Linked DNA regions of Alligator mississippiensis. The protein of the gene in region 3 interacts with the protein of the main gene of each other region in a pairwise test. Links are inferred from orthologs where the notes say so. Each region holds a gene or a part of one and is shown on either strand. Other genes may lie near its edges.

Evidence for each region.
Region 1: the proteins of HOMER3 (region 3) and WIPF1 interact in binary tests that used the Homo sapiens proteins (3 or more experiments, as listed by UniProt). The two-hybrid records come from large-scale screens. The link is inferred for Alligator mississippiensis from reciprocal best matches to the Homo sapiens genes HOMER3 and WIPF1.
Region 2: the proteins of HOMER3 (region 3) and paired box protein Pax-6 interact in binary tests that used the Homo sapiens proteins (3 or more experiments, as listed by UniProt). The link is inferred for Alligator mississippiensis from reciprocal best matches to the Homo sapiens genes HOMER3 and PAX6.

What each region holds. Positions count from the first base shown.
Region 1 is NC_081827.1:210,164,674-210,171,725, reverse strand, and holds the start of WIPF1 (WAS/WASL-interacting protein family member 1), read right to left. Parts: upstream 3,057-7,052; 5' UTR 2,871-3,056; intron 2,765-2,870; exon of another isoform or gene 2,584-2,764; intron 1-2,583. UniProt on the Homo sapiens protein: Plays a role in the reorganization of the actin cytoskeleton. Contributes with NCK1 and GRB2 in the recruitment and activation of WASL.
Region 2 is NC_081828.1:40,007,048-40,014,250, forward strand, and holds the start of paired box protein Pax-6, read right to left. Parts: upstream 3,057-7,203; 5' UTR 2,898-3,056; intron 680-2,897; 5' UTR 610-679; coding exon 495-609; intron 1-494. Other genes in the region: RCN3 (reticulocalbin-3), read left to right, coding at 6,461-6,578, 6,808-7,042. UniProt on the Homo sapiens protein: Transcription factor with important functions in the development of the eye, nose, central nervous system and pancreas. Required for the differentiation of pancreatic islet alpha cells.
Region 3 is NC_081839.1:1,369,484-1,377,163, forward strand, and holds the start of HOMER3 (homer protein homolog 3), read right to left. Parts: upstream 3,008-7,680; 5' UTR 2,885-3,007; intron 2,543-2,884; exon of another isoform or gene 2,355-2,542; intron 1-2,354. UniProt on the Homo sapiens protein: Postsynaptic density scaffolding protein. Binds and cross-links cytoplasmic regions of GRM1, GRM5, ITPR1, DNM3, RYR1, RYR2, SHANK1 and SHANK3.

The DNA.
Region 1 (7,052 bases), on a different chromosome or scaffold from region 3:
AAATGATATGGCATTCATTAAAATAAATATTAAATGATGAATCCATTGTATACAGTAGTCCAGTGGGGTTTTTAAAATGTAGTAATGTACATTTGCCTAGATCAGTCATGAATGTCTTTACATCACATGATAAAACCTCCTGGAATAGATTCAAACAGAGTTGGCAACCCTAATTCTTATTTTAAAGGGAGATGGCCTGATAAATACTAAGCAAGGTAGCCCATAGATAAATCTTTCATTAATGATCTGGATATGGATTAAAACAAACATAAAGAACTGGCGGTTTTCACTATCTTTAGTTGCAGAATAGCCACATAAAAATGCATACATTTCAAATGGAGTGGTTGATAAAATCATGAGGAAGCTGATACTGTATTTATTATTTATCTAGGTGCCAGAGACAAGCACAAGGTCCCCAGTTTCCCCAAGTACTGTAAACAAACTAGACACACATAGAAGGACAGTCCCTGCCCCAAAGAGCTTACAGTCTAAAATCGACAAGATAAACCAAATGAGTTACCTTTTGCATGTCTCAACATTTTTAGAGGAGGCAAATTTACTCATTGTAAAAGAAATTAAATAGCATAATGTGGTAACACAGAAGCAAGTTCATTTGACAGGCACACCTCAGAAGACAACATATCCCTGGCAGTTTCATGGGAACAGGATAACAGGGAGCTTAAAAGACAACATCAAAAAAGACGGAGACAAGGGAGACAAAGTATCAGCATGATAAAAAAACAACAGGACAGAGACAGATGAACCAAACGGTGACCACAATGATTGTTAAAACAATAGACCATCCTATAAGAGTATCATAACCCAGTGATAAACTTTCTTCTTCTGAAATGTTCCTCTCCTCTGTCTCTTGAATTCTTTATTCTAGCTCTAGCCCCTTCTCATGTGTTCCTACTAAGCAGGCAGGAGACAAGCATGTCAAAACGGTCATACTTCTCCACTATACAGACTCTGGGAAGGAATATAAAAAAAGCCCACACAGAAGGTATGCAAGCACCAAGAATTTAATTGTTCTTTCTTCATTACCTGTGCCATACCTAACATGGCTGTGGGTTGGGCCCAGCCTGCAGGTTGTAGTTGGCCAAATTATTTGGGTCTCTAGCAGACACAAGATCACCAGATCTTCTGGGCATGCCCCAGAGCAGCACTGAAGGTGTTGGGTAAGAGGGCAGTGTGGAGGAAGCCTGCACAATGCTCCCATGCAACTGATTCCAGCTAAAGTGTATTTCCCTTTCTTGAGTAAACATTTAAAAATCAGAAACACAACGAAGTGTTCATATTTTGGATTCCTTAACACATGTCTAAGGACAACAAAAATGTATGTCTCCCCTATACTATTTAATTGCTGATCACAGCAACTTGGGGGGGGGGGGAGGGGCGGGAAGGAAGGATGCCCATATCATGAACATCTGCACAAGCAACTGTGATGGCATCTCATCTGCTGTCACTAATGCAAGCTGCAGCCTTAATATCACTATACAGCTCTTCCTCTACCACCCCACTAAAGTTTGACCTTGGCTGTGTGGGATGTAACTGAGCAGGAACTGGCATTCCGGCTTTAGCAAAATCTGTGTGCATCTGGGTAGAGCCAAGATAGCAAGTTCAAGAGTGATGTTGTAGCTGTAATGGTCCAGAAACTATGTGACAGGCAAGGATCTCTTAGGGCAGCATCTTTTACTAGACCAACTCTGTAGCTGGGATTCACAGACGTTTAGGGCTGGAAAGGACCTCATGAGATCATCAGGTCCAGCCTTCCTGCTCTGGGCAGGAAAGACTGCTGGGATCAAATAACCCCAACAAGGTGTGTGTCCAGTATCTTTTTGAAGATCTCCAGGGTAGGTGCCTGCAGATAATGTTAGACAAGCTTTTGAATGCAAGACATGCTTCCTCAGGTCTCACTGCATCCTACACAGTCTCTTACTTGAGACCAGAGGAAGAACGCCTTACACTGGGAAGCTTGTTTAACTGTATCCCCAGGACACAGTTGGGCCAATAAAAGGCGGTGCCCTAAGAAATCATCCCCAGGGGCATAAGAGAAAGCAGGATTCATCTCCAAGAGCAGATTAAAACAATCCAGGAAGTAGAGAGGGGAGAAAAGGAAAGAGAAGCAGAGAAGGATCACAGCAAGAGAGCACAAAGTCAGTGTTTGGAGATGGCCGGGAGGAGCGGTAACGGCTTCAGAGCACGGAGAGCGGATCCGAGGGCTAGACAGACAGGTCTGGAAAAAAGAAATAGGCAAGAAAGCCGATTCAGTGTCAGAGATGCACAAAGCTCTGGGGTCGAGGCAGATTCAGTGTCAGTGCACATCCGCGCGCTTGTCCCAGCTCTGGGCTTTCACGTGGGACTTTCAGCCGCCGGCTCCTGCGGGCCCCTTGTTTATCCGGGATAAACTCCCCCCCACTCCCGCGCTGCCAGACCCCAAGACCCGCGCGGGCCCCGGCCCCGGCCCCGGCCCGGCGGACACACGGGGGGAGGCGAGTGCCAGGACCCGGCGGGCGGAGGCTGTGTCCCACCACGAAAGCAGGCGGGGGTGGGGAAGACGACTGGCCCTACCCCAGCCATTACCTTCATCCTGCTGCCCCGCGAATCCGAGCCCCGAGCCCCCGGGCTGCGAGCGACGCCCCCCAGCCCCGCGGCCCCCGGGAGGTTGCAGCAGACAGGGCAGGAGAGCGCCCGGATCGATCCCCCTTTCCAGCTGTGCCGAGCCCAGGCAGCGCTCTGCCCAGATGTTGGGCGCCAGGCGACGGGCCCCGGGCTGGCAACGCCCCGCCACTCCCCGCCCCGCCCCGCCCCGCCCGGCCCGCGGGGAGCAGCTGGGGGCCGGCCCGGAGCGGGGCAGCCGCTTCCCTTACCACGTCCTGCCGGGCTCCTCACGCCTGGGGAGCCGGGGGCAGCTCGCGCCCACAATCCAGCCGCTGCAGCACCCGGGCCATTTTCTGCATGGGAGGCTATTTATAGCGTCCGGGAGCGGCGGGGACAGAGCGCGCCCGCAGCAGCTGCCGCAGCCTGGCCCGGCCCCGCTCGGCACATGCCCCAAGACCGGGCTTGTCCCTAGTGAGCATGTGCGGCGCGTCCGCACATGCCCGGTAGCGGAGTGAAGCCGCCGTGAAGCGATGCCCTTACCCTGCTCCTGCCTCCGCGAGCCCTGCTGCCCGGCGGGCACAGAGCGGGACGCGGCTGCGGGGGGCAGCGATGAAGGGAAGGGCGGCCAGGGTCGCGGGCTAACACTGAAGGGGAGTTATTTCTCCTTGCTGTAGTTAACTGTCCTCACTTGGCCTGTGCTTGGACAGTGACAGCTGCTTTTTCAGACCTTGTGAAGGGCAGTTGAAGCCCCAAAAAATCTTGTTTCCTGGCTCCCGCAGCTACCCACGTTGTCCCAAACCAGATATCAACTCACCTCAAACTTTGCTTTGACTTCCCCTGGCTCAGCAGGGCTGCACCCTCTTTAGAAAGTCAGCTGGCCACAGGTTCCAAAGTCCCCTGATTTTGGATTATGCATATCAGCTGTGCAAGCAGTCCTCAATTTATGTTTCGAGTTACAATGTTTCGCACTTACAGCGTTTATAAATTGACACCCTGTTTTCAACTTTCTGACCTCAGTTTTGACTTTACAACGCTTGATCCAATGCGACACCATGCCAGCAAACTAGTTTGCTGCGTCACTCATTTCCCTGGAGAACATCTGTCCAAACTGCCTTGGACACTTTCTTTAAGAAAGCAGACACGACTCCAGCCATGACTCCGGAGAAGACTCCAGCCAAGAACCCTTCAAAAAGTCCAACTAAGAGCCTTTCAAAAAGTCCAGCAAAGTCTCCTCAAAGAAGTCCTTCCAAATAAATATGATTGCTATTTACAATATAAATACATTAATGTAGCTATATTACTCATCTATAATTGATCAAGTACAAAATTCTGGGGTATTTTTGGTGAAAGGGGCCTTGGTTCAGGAACCAATCCCCCATTTATAACATTGTTTCTTATGAGAAAATTGGTTCTGAGTTACAATGTTTCGACTTGTGTCCTAAGTCTGAGGACTGTCTGTATTTCCTACCACCTGTCTCCTCATGGCCTATTTTGAATTTGGTGCCAATGTAAATGTCCAGCCAACCTCACAACAAGGCATTAGCTGCTTTTATGTAAAGACTAAGAAACAAGAGAGGTGGGAGCACCCTGAGGCATGGGGGTGGATAACATTGTTGAGACTCCCTATGGCAGCTAGCAGTAGAGCAACTGAGGGCGGGTGAGCAGGACACCAGCCCTGGGTCACCCACTTGGGGGGAGTACACACATAGCTGCCATTGCCAGTGCCAGTGACTGTACAAGGATTGCAAAAGACAGGGAAGAATGGAGGAAAGTTATTGCTACATGAAAAGGTGCCCCGATAGCCAGTGCAGCCTTGGGACAGACTGTCTCCCTGCCAGTGGCAGCAACCCAGCCGCTGCTGCCGCCCTGTTTGCCACGTCTCTCCAGGATGCAGTACAGGTTTCCCTTGCCAACCACGGTTTTGAGTATCCACACTTAATATTTTATATACCATTTTGGCTACCACGGGATGCAGTTTTGAGTAACCACAGTTTTCTGTGGCTGCGCATCAGCCCGCCACCTGCCATTTTTCCCATAAACCTTTTGTCTTGCCAACCACGGTTTTGCCAACTACAGGAACTTTCAGGAACCTAAACCCAGCCGTTAGCAAGGGAAACCTGTAGTGCCCAGCTGTGCCCCAAGCAGATAGTGTTCAATTCTATTCAATGGAGGAGACTTCAGTTGGCTCCTCAAAAGATGCTGTCCTATTAGCTGTGCTACAGTGTTTTACTTGTGGTAAATATCTTTAAAATCTATTCCTTTCCTTAGTACCTCTGACTAAGAAATATCTATAGTTGCAGAGCTGCTGCCTTAACAAGAACATTAGTTTGACAGTAAAGTTAGAATGATAGATCTTTCAAACTAAAAAGAGAGCCTCTGTTCCTGAAGGAATGACTTTAGCCAGCAACCATGGTAGACTCTTAATATTTTTTGTAGACAAATCATTGAGTGGGGAAGGGCCCATACTCTTTCTAATATGGGTTATATGTACAGGTTATACACAAACATGTAAGAAAGCAAATTTATAATCCTATTATGTGAAAGGCCTAGGCCCAATATTTTAAACAGTGGTTTATCTGAACATCAGTTTTCAGAGTTAATGTACATCTGCAGGAGGGCTACAGATATGAGCACACACAACTCAGTATGATTAAAGGTATTACCACCACCAAATAGCCTATTAACCAGGCACATTACTTAATTAGCATGTTTATACTGAATTCTTTCATAAGCCTGAGCTGAATGTACTTGCTTAGCTGAATGTATCTATAGTAAATTTAAAAACTAGACTGCACAAGGTTTATGTTTTAAATCAGCCCCAAAAGTGAGAAAATATAGTGTCCTTTATCTATCAGTAAGGATCACACACAAATATCTAGAGTGGGGGTCAGCAACCCCCAGCACGTGTGTTGAGCACGGCATGTGAGGCCATTTGGCTCCGCACACTGCTGCCAGCCTGGGCTCTAGGCAGCTGCTGCCAGCCACGAAGCCCGGGCTGCTCCCAGCAGGCGGCTGGGTGGCTGCAAGCCCTGCTGCAAGCAGACTGGGCTCCATGGTTGGCAGCAGCTACCCAGAGCCTGGGCCAGTTGCAGCCAGTTGTTCCAGGCTCTAGCATTATCTCCATACCGGCGGGTGCACGTGTGCCTCGGAGCAGATGGTGGGGGTGGGCTGATTGCTCCCAGCTCCCCACACCTAGGCTGGGCTGAGCTGTCATGGAGCTGCAGCCAGCTGTGAAGGGCCCTTGCCCCATGGCCCAGCCCCAACTGGCCCCCCACACCCACCCTCAGCAGCACCTGCAGTTGACCCCACTCAGCCCAGGGCAAGGCAGGAAAATAGTAGGGTTGGCCCACAAGAGCAGGGCCTTTCTCAGCCAGCTCCAGCTCCATGACAGCTTGACCCAGTCAGTGCAAATGGGCGGCAGCTGGCCAGACAGCAGAACAAAGGCAATGTTGCTGCGACTGTGCCTTGGCAGCTGGATTGGTCATATGGGACAAGTCCATCATGCCTCCAAGCTGGCCTGGGCAGCTGCAGGCACCAGTAGGCCCAGAGCCTGGCAGCCACACACCTCAAGGTGTGCCCTGCGTGCCCCCTGCACAGTGCTTGTTTGTCCATGAAGGAGGCTTGGCAGTGGCAGCTGCAGGCACATAAGCCCCTGCCTGGGCAGCTGTGGCCATAATGGACTCCTCCCATGTAGCCAGTCTGGCTGCCAAGGCACCTGCCCACAGCTTCAGTGGCATCACCTCTGTGCTGCTGCCTAGCCAGCTGTCACCCATGCACACTGAGCCAGGCTGCCATGGAGCCACAGCTGGCTGGGAAGGGCCTTGCCTGTGGGCTGGCCTGATTCAGCCCCAGTCCCAGCCTTAGCCCCGGCAAGGCAGGCCCATGCTGGTTGGCTCTGGCCACACCCCCACAGCTGGAGCCATGATGGAGGGGACCCTGACAGGGGCTCCTCCACCCTGGTCAGGCAAATCCCAGCTACAGTCCCCCTGGGGGGGAGAGGGAAGGAATAAACCCTCTCCCTGCCCCTTCACCTTAGGGGGCCATCCCGGCTGCCATGCCCCTGCCCCTGCCAGAGGCTGAAAAGCATGCTGGGGGACTCTGATTTAACTTAAACCAGGAAGGGGTCTGGGACAGCAGTTCCATAAACCTGTTTGACCCAAATCTGATACTACAGTCAATCAGGTTTATATTAAACAAACCAGTTGTGGCCATTTTGAAGCTGGTTTATGTACACTGAACTTCTGTTACATTACATATTTAAACCAGTTTGTGTAACTTCTGTCCCTAGCCCAAAAGGTTATACTGAAAGGCACAATAGCCTTTTGCATTCAAAACAGCATTTACAAAAAAAGAAGCTGTTTAATTTACAAAAAATTAGACACACACATGCACTAATTTGTCATAATAGTTATTTATGAAACCTCCAATCCTGTCCTTTTTTCATGTATATG
Region 2 (7,203 bases), on a different chromosome or scaffold from region 3:
CCCCCCAACTTGCCACCCACCTGGCACCTCCTGACATCTGCTTTTCTTGGGGGGGGGGAATGACCATGTCCCTAGCATGGGAGCAGAGACCCTGATGGAGCAATGGTGGGTGGAGTCGGATCTAGGGGTGCTTCTAACACCCCCCCCACCCGCTGTTTGCCCCCCAGATTTACAGCAGAGGTAACCGAGATCTGGGCCTTAACGGTGCCTGGGAGGTTTGAGAAAGAACCCAGGTATCCGGGTTTCCAGCCCCACCTGCTCTAGCCCCCCAGGCCCCACTGCCCTCCCTGAGCTGGGATAGAACCCAGGTGTCTGGCTCCCAGCCCCACACCCTGTTCCACCCCTTTAGACCCTGCTGCCCTCCCAGAACCAAGAGAAAACCCAGGTGCCAGTGAGGGCAGGGGCTGGGACAGGGTCCTGCTGGGGTGTGCCTGGGGGGTGAGCGGGGATCCCAGGCTGCCAGGCACCAAGCCCTGCCCCCCACCCCCGCACACCTGGGTTGGGCTGTGGTGATACCAGGCTCTCTGGGTACCAGTCCTGACGGCCACTCCACGCCGCGTTCTGTATGTTCAGCATCCCAATCTTCTTGTACAGGCTGTCTGCCCCCATGGACCAGCGCGGGGCCGCGGCGAGGGTGTGGGGGACCAGCCCCCCCGGGGCTGCAATGAGTCCTGGGCACCTGGAGACGGCGACAGGGCAGAGAGAGAGGCAGGCGGTCAGAGCGGCATGGAGATGCAGCTGCTTCTGGGGTGGGGGGTGCTGGGGCTGCCCAGCACCCGCCACCCCAGCCTGTTGCCCCCTAGTGCCCATGTCTGTCACTGTGTGGGGGACAGGCTGGTGCCTGCACAGCCAGAGCTCTCCATGGCCCTGTCCCCCAAGGCAGCTGCTGTCCCCGCTGTTGCATCAGCCTCCCACAGCCCTGCACTGCCCTTGAGAGAGCAAGGCTGGCACAGCTGCTGTTCAGGCAGGCAGAGCAGGGGGCAGCCTTCCCTGAGCCCCAACCCTGGACCCCCAGGCCTGTTGGTGCCCCTCACAAACAACCCACAGCTCCCCAGCCCTGCTGGCCCTACCCATCCCCTTTTCTCAGTCTCTCACATGCAGGGGTGTGGGGATTCCCATCTCGATGGACATTGGCCCCTCTGCATGCGCCGGTGGCCCCCCAGGGAGGTTTGGAGTCCTCATACTCCATTCACTAGAGGGGAAACTGAGGCGGGGGGGCTGTGCTTCCTTTAAGTGAGTGTGGGAGCCTTTGGGGGAGAGCTGGGGTTGGGGGAGGAGGGGGTTATGGTCACAAGGAGGCCCAGTCTCTCTCTCTTTCTCACATACAGACACATACACATGCAGGGCAGGAACACACAACATGGCAACACACAGCCATGTTCTCTGTGCTCCTTACACACACAGAGCACAGGAAACACAGCCACAGCCGCATGAGAGAGCAGCGCACAAAGGCAGCATCCTATACACGCCCCCCAGCCTTCAACACACACATGCAAGGCCTGACATGCATGCATACATGCACAAACACACACAGTGGCACACCACACACAAATGCCCACAGCACCACACACACACACCCACAAACCCACATGCGAATGCACATGCACACAGGCACAAACAGCGTCACATACACAGTGCACAAATGCACACATATGCACAGGTATACAGAGCATCACATACACATGCACATACAGACACTGGCAAACCACACACGTATGCATACTATGCTGTACAGGGCACATCCATGTACAGGCACACAGACCAACATGCATACAACACTGCACACCAGTACCCACGCCCGAACGCACATGCGTACCCACAGCATTTGCATGTGTTCACACATGCACAGACACACACGGGTACATACACATGCACGACTGCACCCACACCGCACTGAGCATGGCCATGCAAAAAAGCAAACACCCAGAATAGAGCAATGGCACTTGTATGTGCGCACATAAATGCACATGCACATGTGTGTGCGTGCACACACACACGCACACACTGCTGCAGCCCTATGCTGACTCCTCCTGGTCCTCCTCAGAGCAGGAGTGTGGGTGAGGGGGCAGGTGGGGGCAGTCATCTCCATGGCTTTCTTTGTCAATGTTGGGGGGGGGGCCGGCAGGGGCTCAGCCTGCCCCAGCCCAACTACCCTCCCATCCATGGGTGCAGCTCCAGGGGCATGAGTGATGAGCACTGATGAGGCTAGCAGGGCTGCAGGTCGGGAGTGAGGGGCACCAGCAGGACTTGGGGGGGAGGGGAGGCACAGGGCTGTGGGTCAGGAGTGAGGGGCAGCAGCAGGGCTGGGGACCATTATCTCACATTGCCCCAGGAACTGCACCCACAATATACCATTGCCCCCACCTGGACGCCTGGGTTCCATCCCTGCCCAGGCACCTGGGTTCCTAGGCTGCATTTTATCTGGGGCTGTGCTGGGTGCTAAGGGGGCGGGGCCCAGCCTGGGGGCAGGGCAGGGCTGTGGGTTGGTCTGGCAAGGGGCACAAAGGCAGGTCTATGCCCCCCTCTGTTTGCTGGAGAAACAGGGGAGTGAGATGAGCTGCCCCCACCCCTGCCATCCAGGTCAGGGGGGGCAATGCCAGGAGACCCCGCTCCATGGCTTCCCTCCCAGTCAAGGAGGAAGGCATCTGCTGGGCACCACTGGGGATGCATCACCTTCCTCCCATCCCACTGTCCCCATCTCCATCGGATCCAAGGGGGCAGGAATGTGGTGGCAGGAGGCTGTGGGTCAGGAATGAGGGGCACTGGCAGGGCTGAGGGGGATGGCAGGGGGCTGCAGGCTGGGAGTGAGGAGCACCAGCAGGGCTGGGGGCTGTGGGTCGGGAATGCCCCTCCCAGCCCCCATGGTCCCCCCCAGATGCTCCTCCACCCTGACGTACCTCACTTGGGGTCCCAGCTGGGGCAGGCTCCCTTCTTCTGGCAGGGCCTGTGCCGCCCCCTCCAAAATGCCACCTCCAGCACCAAATCCCTGGCCTCTGCCCAGCCTCGTCTGCTGCCAACCGGGTGCTGGAGAGGAATAAAGGCAAGTCCCAGGCGCTGGGGGGCGTTGGGGGGGGGGGGGGGGCTGTGTGTAGGGGGGGGACATGGCCGCCACGCGGTGACATTTGTGTTAAACTGTCCTGGCAGCTTTGAACTTAATTCTCTCCAATGGGCTCGGGGGGGGGGGGGGGGGGGGGTGGACTAGCAGGCAGTGGGGGGGGTGAGAAGTCCCCCAGTATCAGCCCATGCTCTGGTGGCTGAGAAGATCGGAGAGGAAAGAAGCTGCCAGGGATGCGCCAGGCTGGGGGAGGGGGTACGGCCTTGTGGGGGCTGTGGGGTGGTTGAAGCGGGATACAGGATGGAGGGGGTAGGAGGAGCTGGGGGCGGCTGTCCTGGGTGGGGCCTGCTCTTGTTGGCCACAGTGGGGCCGCACATGCAGGCATGCCTGCATGTGCATGCGTGTATACACAAGCAGGTAGGCATACAGCTACACACCAATGGACATATACATTTACACGTGTACAACCATGCATATGTGCGCGCACACACACACACACACACACACACATATCTTCCTTTGCTCCCCATCATGCCTCCTCTTTCCATGTCTCTTCCATTAGGAAAATCAGCCCTCTCCCCTGCCCCCATGGAAGGTGGAGGGGGCTGAGCACTGGGGGGTGCTGGGAGCAGACAGGGATCCCAAGGGAGGGGAGGCTAGGGGGGACAGGTAACCTCGTAGGTCTGGGATTCTCATAGCCAATGGTGTGAAGGGCAAAAGGAAAATGTCAGGAGGTGGGAACAGGCAGGGGTGAGGCGCACCAGCAGTCAGTGCTGTGAGGGGTAGGGGGCTGTAGATCAGGAGTGAGGGACACTGGCAGGGCTGTGGGGACCAGAGGGCTGCAGGTCAGGAGTGAGGGGCACCCCACAGTCTCTCATCTCTTGCCAGCCTCTTTCCTAGCTGCAGAGGGGCTGGGAGCCTGGACACGTGGGTCCCCCCATCTGAGTAGGGCCATGGGACCGCCCTTCTGGCTGGTTCCCAGGGGTTCTGGGGGTCTGTGGCTGAGAGGAACTGAGTTGAGCCACACACTCCCACCCTCACCCTCTGCTTCCTCCACACTCAACAACCCGCCAGCCCCTAGGACAAAAGGGAGTGGGGACCCTGACCCCTATCACGTGCTGCTCCCCAGCGGTGAGACCAGAGGTCCCCCACCCCCAGCCAGGAACACCCCAGCCCAGCATAGCCCCACCCCAAGGCCCAGGGACACTCCAGGCATGCACCCCCCCCAGATGCCTCCTCCCCTCTTCCCTGCCCCAGCCCCCCTGGGACCCCATAAATGCCCGGACTTGATACTCCTCCACTGGGCAGGGGCCCCAGGGATGGTGGGTTAAGTAGAAATCCGTGTTACAGTGACAGGGGCAATTAAAAATGCAAAGTGAGTGCATCACGTGGGGCCTGGGGGGCTGTCAGGGCCCATCGATGCAGGCTGGGGGCCGGGGGGGGGGCTGTGTACCCCCCTCTCCCACCCCCCTGCAGTCACCACCCCTGAGAGCTCCCCCTGAAGGGCAGGAACCCCCCACCCTAATCCCTGAAGCCCCCTCCAGCCAGGACAGGGCCAGACTCCAGTCTGAAACAGGCCTAGACAAGCACCAGATCCTTCCCCCCACCCCGCACCCGGACACCTGGGTTCCACCTCTGCCCCTGGCCCATGCAGGGGGGGAAAGGAGGGGCATCAAACACCACCAGCCTCCCTGAATCCTGCACCCTGGCATGACAGGGCACCTGCCCCCAGCCACCCCATCTGATCCGATTACTGCTGGCTCCTGACACAGCCCTGATGCAGCTAATTGGAGCCCAGGAGCTACGGAGGCAAAAGCAGGGGGAAAAGAGGAGGCTAATGCCTGCCCCCCCCATCCCAGCACAGACCCCCCCCCAACTCCAGTGTGGGTGAGATGGGAGGGATCAGACCCTGCTGGACCTACATAGGGAGTGACCCATTGCTGGAGAGCATGTGGCAGCTTGCAAAGCACTGACCTGAACACCTGGGTTCAATTGTTATAGGAGGAGAGCTGTGGGTGGGGAATGAGGGACACTGGCAGGGCTGGGGGGGAATCTCCCTGACCCCAAATGATGCTGCAGACTCGGCCCCTCTCCCCACACATGGCCAGTGCGTTGCAGGTCCCCTTCCCTTTCTGGTGTCACTTCAATGTGAGTTGCCCATGTGGACCGGGCATATTCGGGGCGTCGGAGCGGAGCTGACCGCTCCCCCATCTGTTGCTTCTATCCCAGAGGTGCCCTGAACCAAGACATAGCACAGGCAGCCCTGCCAGTGCCTCTCACTCCCAACCCACAGCCCCCTGCCCCCCCAGCCCTGCTGGTGCCCCTCACTTCTGACCCACAGCCCCCTGCCCCCTCACTCCAGACCTGCAGCCCCTGCCTCCCAGCCTTGCTGGTGCCCCTCGCTCCTGACCAGAAGCCCCCTACTCCACCCCCCTCCCCCCTGCCTTGCGGGTGGAGCTCACTTGCAACCCACAGACCCATGACCACTGCTCCCCTGGGACTCAGTGACACAGATCCCAGCTATGAGACTCACCCCCCAGCCATTCCTCCCCATCTGGCAACTCTGAGCTTATCCGTGTTGTATAAGGGGGAGGCGGTGGGGAATCCAGATGTAGTACTTCTGCCCAGGCCTCCCTAGGGGACTTCATTCCCTCCCTGCCCCCTGGCTAAGAGACTGGGATGTGCTAGTCTTGACCCACATGTCACAAATAGACAGGCTGCAGGGATGCCAGGGGCACTAGCAGGGCTGGGGAGCAGGGGGCTGCAGATTGGACCGGGGCCACACGCAAAATCCCAGCCCGACTCGTCTGACAGAAGAGCTGGGGCTGGTTCTCCAGGGCTTGGGGTCCCCAGGGCTCCCCCACCCCTGTCCCCAGTCTGCGAGAGCGGGCGGCGGGGGACCAGCACCTCCACTCAGCCCAGATACCGGGCAGGGAGGGGGGAGGCAGACGCCCATTGGACGAGCTCAGGTTAAGACCAAGGGTCCCAGCGGGCCGTGCCTTAGTTTCCGTGCTGGAGCGGCCTAGGAGGAGCCTGGAAGTGAGCACCGCAGGGCAGGAGGGGCCTGAGCCCTCGGTTCCCGCTGGGTCAGCGGGGGGGCGGCAAAGCCCCAGCAGAGCCCCCCCAGGACGGGGCAGCCCGGAGTGGGGGTGGGCAGGGACAGGGGCTGCTGTAGGATGGAGGTGGGGAGGGCTGCTGAGCTTGAGGAGGGCAAGACCCATCAAAGATCCTGCCTGCCTGGTCTCAGCCCCCGCGCCCCCTAACCCCCACGTGGCCTAGCCCCCGCCCCCCTCCACGTGGCCTCTCTGCCCAGAACTTGGCCACAACTTGCTTGGGGGAGAAACTTGTGTCAACGTGGCGACGGGCAGCCAATCAGCCAGCGTCCTGGCCCCGCCCCGCGGGGGTATGCCGCCCTCTCATTGGCCCCACCAGCCGAGAGGGTGGGCCTGTGTGGGGGGGCTGTTGCGGGGCAGGGGGAGCCGGGTTCCAGTCGGGGCTCGAACACGCGGCGGTTTGGAGCTGGGTGAGGTATGGGGAGGGGCCCTGGGGTCCCTCTAGTTGGGGGGGGGGTTGGGACAAAGGGCGCCTCCCCTGGGCATGGTGGGGCTGGGGTTCTGATAGGGGGTGTGGGGCAAGGCTGGGGGCTGCCTTGCAGGGGTGAATTGTGGGGGACTCAAGGACAGTGGAAGCTGGGGAAGGGGGCAAAGTTGTGGGTAGGGCTGGGGTCTCTACCCTCCCCCATTGCCCTGTAGGCGCAGGGATGTGGGTGCTGGCAGGCTGGTGGGTGCTGGCGCTGTGTGCAGTGGGGGGGGCTCTGGCCAAGCCACCCCCGGAGAAGAAGGACCGCGTGCACCATGGCAAGGAGCTGAGCGACCACCAGCACGATGACAACCAGGATTTCCAGTATGACCACGAGGCCTTCCTGGGCAAGGAGCAGGCCAAGACCTTTGACCAGCTCACGCCCGAGGAGAGCCAGGAGCGCTTGGGGTGAGCCGGGGCCCCGGCCAGGCAGCCAGGAGGAGACCCAGGCAGCCAGGCTCCCAGCCCCCACCATACACCAGCCCAGCAGACCCCATGCCCCTCCCAGAGCTTGCTCCTAGTGCCCTGTGCTCCCTACACCCCCCCCCCCCCCCCCAAAGCTGGGCATG
Region 3 (7,680 bases):
AGCTTAGTACAAAAGCAGCTCCCCCCAGCCTGTTTGCTGCTAAAGGGCACCAGGGGAATTGCACTCCTGTCGGATTAGTCGTGGGGGTGGAACGCGAGTGCAAGCGTGCAAGTTCAGACCCAGGGAAAGGAGGACCTGGGCGTTAAAGGCCCAGCACCGTTATGAAGCATTGCTTTTCCTGGACACCTCTCGCCACCAGGCCCGGGTCCCAGGTGACGAGGATGGCTCTGCGGCTGGGTGCACAGCGCGTGCCTGGAACAGTCCCCGTGCGGGGACGGACGTCTCCACTGGCTCTCCCAGTGCCACACACGGACTGGAGCCTTATCTGCACGGTGCTGGGAAGTCTTGAACATAGGGGAAGCAGAGTGCATTTAAGTAGTGCGTAGCCTAACCCAGAAAGCTAGAGTCTGGGCAGCGCTGCTGACAGCTCACCCTCGTCCCTCCAGTGCTGGGCTTCCAATGCCCCCCCGTAATAAGCATCTACGAGCACCCCGCTGTGCTCTGTGCATGTTTCTGCCTGCGTGCAATCATTTTAACCACAGCATCCTCAGCCCTTCCAGACATGGATGCCTGCTCAGTTCAGTGGGCGCAGCTCCATTCTCCTCTGCTGCCGTTTCAGTCCTGCCCCTGAACAGCGCAGCCAGGGCTCCTGAAGCATGACCAGAAGCCTCTCCTCTCCGACGCCCATCCTAGTCCTCCCTACAGCGGAGACTGCTGTGTCGTCTGCTAGGTGGAAGTGCGGACGAATGCTCACTGCAGGCGCAGCCGGGAGGTAAATGCATTTGCTTCCCTTGTGATCCAAGCAACGTTTGGAAGTGGACTCTTCCAAAGAAGAGGAGCCAGCACTTGAAAACCTACTGTGCAACGGGGATACATTAGAGTCCAGGAACAGGCTGTGCGGGAAAGCTACCCAGAGATACCAGAACGAGCATCAGGAGGACATACAATAGGCAAGATTTAAGAGTCACTGGTGAGGGGTAAGGACTGAATCCTTACTTCAAAATGAGCTCGCTTAAATCAACTGGTGGAAAATGATTCAAAAGGGGATGCTCTGTTAATGCCTTGGGAATCCAGAGAAATCTAATGCCTGCAGATGGCTGCTCAACATTTCCATGTGAACGATACACAAGCACAAAGGCATTTCAGTTCAGAAGGTCTATGCAACTAAAAACAGGGGATTTGGGATAGAAACACCACCTCCACGGTAACAGCAGTGCTGCTGCTGCTGCTGCAACCCTGTAATTAGAGCGAGATCTAAGAAAATATCAGGATGACATCGAATCAACCTTTTCTGTGGGAACTGGCAGGCCTCTAAAGAAAACGCAGAGCTGCTGGGTGTAGTCGTGATGACTCCAAGAAGGATTCATCTAATACACCTGGAGAATAAGGCGCCAGGCCCAACCTATGCACCTGAAACACCCTTCCTGGCAATCCCCAGGCTGAAGTTTTGGATTCAAGGTAGGGATCACGGAGACATGGGGCAGTTTCAGATTTCGAGTGGGACCAGTGTAAGCCCCACAGGCTTCAGTGGATTTGCTCCAGATTCATACTGGTTTAACTGAGACCTGGTTCTGTGCCTCTGCCCCTTCTGCCACCCCCATCTATATTTCACTCTGTCCAGTAATTCTTCCTGGGTTGCCTAAAACAAAAATCAGAAACTCAGCAAAAGAAACACAAGCCAGTGAACTTGCCCTCTAGTCTCACACTGACAGCTTGGGGGGATCTGGGGAGGCCGGGCTCCTCCCGGCCCAACGTGCTTCTGAGTGGCCCAGAAGAGTTCATTACAAAGCAACTCGCTCAGAGCAACGTCAGGGTCTTAAAATTACACGGCTGGGGTTTATTACCAGCACATTAATTAAACACCAGGCTACAATCTCTTTTTCATGCCCGTGCCTTCTAGCCACTTAAGCACAACATATTTCACCCCTGGAAGATTTTAGGGGGTCATAAACTTAAACTCACGTTGGAGATTTCCAATCAGACTCCTCACCCGCTCAGAAATGCAAGCAGTATCCCAATTACTGAGCACCAAGGTCACAAGGGAAAAACAAAACCTGTCCTTTTTAACTTGGGAGAAGGTGGCCAAGGGCTGTTCCTGACTCCCGCTCTGGACCCCAGGGCCCCGTCCCTGTATCCTGGTACCTGTCAAGAAGTTGCCGAGATTTGCAGTTGTCTACTTTGTGAACCCTTAAACTTTAGGGCTGCTTTGTACTCTTAAACTGGCATTTCTTTCTTGATGGCAACCTGAAGCCCTCATCCCCTCGGCTCGGATATACCTTAAAAAACATGTTGGGTTATTTAAACTGGTACGAAAACAAAAGATACACGAGTAATAATCAAAATGCCTGGCTCACCCCATCTCCGCCTGGGTGTCAGCTTCTTTCTTCTTGGGCTTCTCTTCGGCCGCCTTAGCTCCTCTCCACGTTTGATTTATTTTTCCCTTCCTCTTTCTTTCTCTCTTTCTCCGGATCCGGATGCTCTTTAAATTTCCTCCGGAATTTCACTTTGAAATCCGCTAGTTTTGTTGCTTGTTCAAAATGACCTATAATCCCAGAGGGCGTGGGGGAGGAGGCTGGGTGAGGTCCCGAACACCCTCCCGAGGAGAGGTCTTCCCCACCGAGAGCGGCAGCCCAGGGGACCTTGGCCAAGAACTTTGGAGCACACTTTGCTGCTGAGATGTTGCAGCCTCCGGCCCGCAGTGTCCTCCTCTCTCCTGCTCGCAGGATCCCTTCCTCCCTTCAGCATGGGGAGGAGAGCAGCAGCAGCAGCAGCAGGATTATTCACTGCTTTTGCAATCCCTTTAAACAATGCTGCCCACTCCCTTCTACTCTAGGCGACTGATAAACCCTGGAAGTTTTTTCCACAGCCCAAAAAGTAAAGCTACCTCTCCAGTTGATCCCTCTTGATTGCGATTTCTTTGTTCTCTCTTTTTATCCGCTTCCTTCCTCTGCCAACTGCCCCATCTCGGTCACATTTCTCTTTTCTTTCTCCTCACTTTATTTCCAATGGGTTCCAGCTGGCTCAGAGGCACCACCTGCCGGGCACAGCTCACATCTACACCCGCCGAAAAACCAAGCTGCTAAATAAGATCAGCACAGCTCCAAGATATCCCAACACACCTCCTTTCCCGGGGCTTCGCCCTTATATTGTAATCTCGTACATACTACGGGTCTAAGCTTTGACCAAAGGGGTCTGAGCAGCTGCTGCCTGCTCCAATACAGCCTGCCCCTTCTACCCCAGGTATCTCAAACGTGTTCGCTAATACTTTAGAAAAACAGCACGTCCCTTTTATTCCAGTCTAGGGAGTGGTTTCCCTCACCTCCCTGCGTGGGCCAAATTCTCCATTCCTTTGTATTCTGGGTGGACGTTTGCACCTGTGCAAAGCGAGGCTGAGCTGCTATTACATTTGTAAGGGATTGAGGGATTGGGGGAAGGGAAGTTTCTGGGAAGCAGAGAGAGAAAACACTTGAGGAGTGGGGTGGGAAATCAGCTGAACGTGACCTGCCAATGTGACACGACGTCAATCCTTGGATGTACAAACAGGGACATACGGACACACTATATTTCCCCTGTATTTGGCACTGCAGCAACCACTTTCTGGAGTGATGCATCCAGCTCTGGTGCCTACAGTTCAAGAAGACAAGGTTCCTTGGACCCTGTGTCCTGAGACCAACACGGCTACAACCTACACCCCTCAAACATGCAAGAGACACTTCAAAAAGGAAGTTTAAAAAAATTGCAGAGGGCTGAGGGAAGGATGCTTTAAAAAACTGGAAACTGTGCCTGCCCGGTAAAAGATTATAAGAATTTGAAGAATTCAATCTGCTCCTAAAGTTGCAAGTCTTTAGACTTGATCGCAGCCCATAAACCTGGACAGGCTTAGGTTAGAAATAAGGTGCAGCGCTTTAGCAGCGAGAGTTATTAACCAACCGAACTGCTCATCTAGGGACGGGTGGAGACTTCATCCCTGGGAGATGTTGAATTAAGGTCAGGTGTCTTAGCAAAGGATGTGTTCTAGTTCAAAGAAGAATTAATTCCAAGAAGGCCTGTGTTACACAGCTGGCTTTTAAATCTGTGACCTGGGGTCTTTTGCACCTACTCTGCACAGGCATAAATAACAGAACTGAAAATGGAGACTGGAGAACTGGTCCCGTGGCAAAAATGTATAAATCAAGGGAAGGTTGGGTGGACAGATAGATAGACACATTTGACTCTAGGGATAGAGATAGGCAGCCCAAAATAAGCACTAGAATCTAGGGATGGAAATAGATTAGATGGTATTAAAGAAAACATATCTTCCTGCACCTAATACGCACTTTAGGAGTACCAGCAAACATCTCGTGATTGTGCTCCAAGGCCCTAATTCACATTTGTTGTACAGCCACAACAGGCCAGCTCCTCCCCTGCTGTAAATCCATTGACTCCACCAGGCTAACGCTGGGGATGAATTTGGCCCCAAACAGTCTGATGCCTTTGTCCTCAGGCCGTGGATGCCACGCAGCTTCCGTGAGCTGCACCAGTGTGAAATGGGCAGCACTTTATTCTCGCCTGTCACTAACAGAAGTGACTATGCCCGGCGCAGGATAACAGAATTGGGGCCTTTAGGTTTGTTTCCCAGACATCAATATAAGAGACCATATTGAATCAGATAATGGAACCAAATCATCCTCTTCAGTGGGCAAATATCTATGAAACTATACCCACACTTTAAAGAAAATGGAGTTGCCACCACATTTGAAGCAGCGACAGCTGCCTGACCTTGGGGATCACTTTGGGGGCTGAAATGTCAACTGCACCTGCCCTGGCTCACCTGGGTGTTCAGTGCTACAGCTGTCCCCTCCTCCTCACCCTGCTGTCTTGCTACCAGGAGACCTCTCTACCTACCTAAAGAGTGCCTAGAGCACCTCCCTCTCAGGTGTTTACAAGCTAAATGCAGGTAGAGTCTCAAGTTCTGCCTCTCTGCAAGGCAGCACAGCGGAGTTGACTCTTCACACTGACCCTGCCGCACCTGCAGCCTAATGACTTGCAGGGAAGAGAAGGCAGGAAACAGGACTTGCCGCTGCTCTTCTACTGAGCTTTCTGCACTATCTCCAGCAGGCTGCCAGTGGGGTTTCTGCATAAAGCAGCTGCTCTCTGGTACCATTTTCCTTCTGTTCCAACCCAGCCTCCAAACCTGCAGCATCACAACCACGCAGCTGCTTCCATCGGCTCAGAAGCAGCATAGTGCACAAAGTACAGCTATAGACTTGGGTCCTGCTGTGAACAGCCCTGTCTTATGTGTTATGGCCAAAGGAAAAAAAAAAAGATCACATTTTTCCTCTGACAGCAATGGCTGCATTAGAAGAGAAAAAGCCGTTCTGTCTGTATTCAGTTCTGGCACCTCCTTTTGCAACCCGGTCCAAGTGTAAGAGCACATGCACATGCTTAGCATTTGCTAAAGCAGGCAACAGTTGTGCAAGCTTCTCATATTCATACGTCTAGTGATGTCCTTAAACCTTGGCTCCTGGCAGGGAACTAGTCCCGACTTTCCCTCCAAACCCAGCACTGCCAATGCACTCGAGTCATGATCAAAAACAGTGCTGTTTTCTGGGCTTTCACAGTGCCTCAATCCTGACCTAACACTTCCCACTAAAACTAAAGCCAGGCCTCTCGTGAACAGACTGCCAATAGTGCTGAACTGTGTGGTGATTGGAGGAGTCCAATCCCATTTTTGCTTGTGATTTATTAGGTTGCCTACTTTAATAAGGAATTTCCCCAAGAGAGTTTTCGTTAATCTCTGCCAGTTCTGCACATTAATTTCTCCATGCCTTAATAGCTTCAAGACAATGCTGTTGCTTTCACCAAAATAGTAAGTTATGTCCGAGCAGTTTTACAAGGCAATGTGGGTGTAGCAGCCATTCTTCCAGCCCTATTCACGCCGAAGCCTTTGAGCAGACGACAAGCACCAGGACTGCCTGAACTAAGACCGTAAGCATTTTGGGGCGAGGGACTGACTTTTTGTTGCACTTTGATGCTGACCAGCCAGATGAGGCCGATACCTGATCTAAATAATATGTACCAAAAAGAACAGCAACAATGCCTTCACTCCTCACCTTCCTCCCTTTGCCACAGTAGCCCTCCCACCCGTATTTCCCAGGATTTATAGGAGTTATCTGGAGAGTTGTCATCTTTCTGATGCTGGGGGGCCCGGTGCTGAGAGGCTGTGGGCAGCTGCCAGTGTTATAAGTGGTGTCAGCTAGACCGATCTGAACAAGGTCAGATTTTATGGTGCTTGGAACAGGCTGCAGCCTTCAGCGCTGATACTGGGGGAGCTGAACCAGGGGAGGAAAAGATGGGAAAGGTTTCTTAGCGCACATGAAGCCACAGCCAGAAAAGTCTTGACAACTGGGGACTAGTGAGGGCAGTCTGGGTGCTGCTCTCATCCGCTGGACTCCAGGACTGACTCCCCTCACAGCGCCAGGGCTGAGTTCAATGCCAGCACAGGACTGAATTGTGCCCTTTCTGCTTTTGCTCCATTTTCTCTGCCCTTCTTCTGCACAACATGGCCACCAATGACAAAAGGACTAAAATAAACTGCACTGAAGACACCACTGAAAGTAGGGCACAATATCTTTCATATCGACCTGCTAACAGTGGGTTATCTATGGCTCTTCTTAGAAGCTAATTATTTTACACATTTAAATTAGGATAATTAGATCAGCAGGAATTGAACTGAAATCAGATGTTAGTAGCCTTATGAGGATTTTCTTTAACAGGGTTTTGTGCTCTATCTGTCCCTCCTCCTAGCGAGGAGGGGCGGGGGAAGTGTCCCCTGACCTGAAGAAAAGAAAAGAAACGAGATGAGATATTTTGATCACCACCCATGTCATTAATTACGCGGCCTTTGTCAAGTCTGCGCCATTAATCTTAATGGAGCTCTTTACATAAAGCCATTCAGAATATAGCCAAGAGCACACACTGCCAAAAGACAAACCGAATCCTGTTCAAATCACTGGCCAAGATACACACCTTTGGTCTAGCTTTTTGCATTTTACCGATACCTTGGGTGACTGCAGTCAGACAGTCCTCAGCAGTATGGTGTGCAAGCAGCTGTTCAACTTCCTCATTTTCAGCTGTCCATTTTTATATGCAGTTCTCATGTCCTCACCATGCTCCACATGACTTAGTCTTACACAGAAGGCAGAGTATTCCCACCTTTACATCCTTCCAAGAAAAGTGCCAATATTATTAATGCATTGATTAGTATCTGAAAAAATGCCAGACATAAGAGATCTGGGAAGGGAACTGAACAGTGCTCGCAGCTTTTAGAAAGTTTCAAGAGCTGGCCCCTGCTTCTGTGGTATTTGCATGTAACAGTATACATCAGAAGGCCTTGTACAACGCACATCTGTTTTAAAGATAGTCTGATCCACAGGAATAAGAATGCATGAAAAGAGAGATACTCTCACTCTCCGTGTAAAAACACTTCAATCCAGTTGTGTTACATAGTCAGAAGGGTATGTTAAATGACATTTACTTGGTCTCTTTTTTTCTATTTGGCTATAACGCACGCACCAAATTGGTTTCCAAGCATCCTTTTCAATTAATTTGAAAGTGGGTCTGATGGTACAGCAGGGCAGTACTTCTGCACGCTTTCCAGATGGACTTCAGCTTCCAGGGCTACTTGAGAACAGAGAAAAC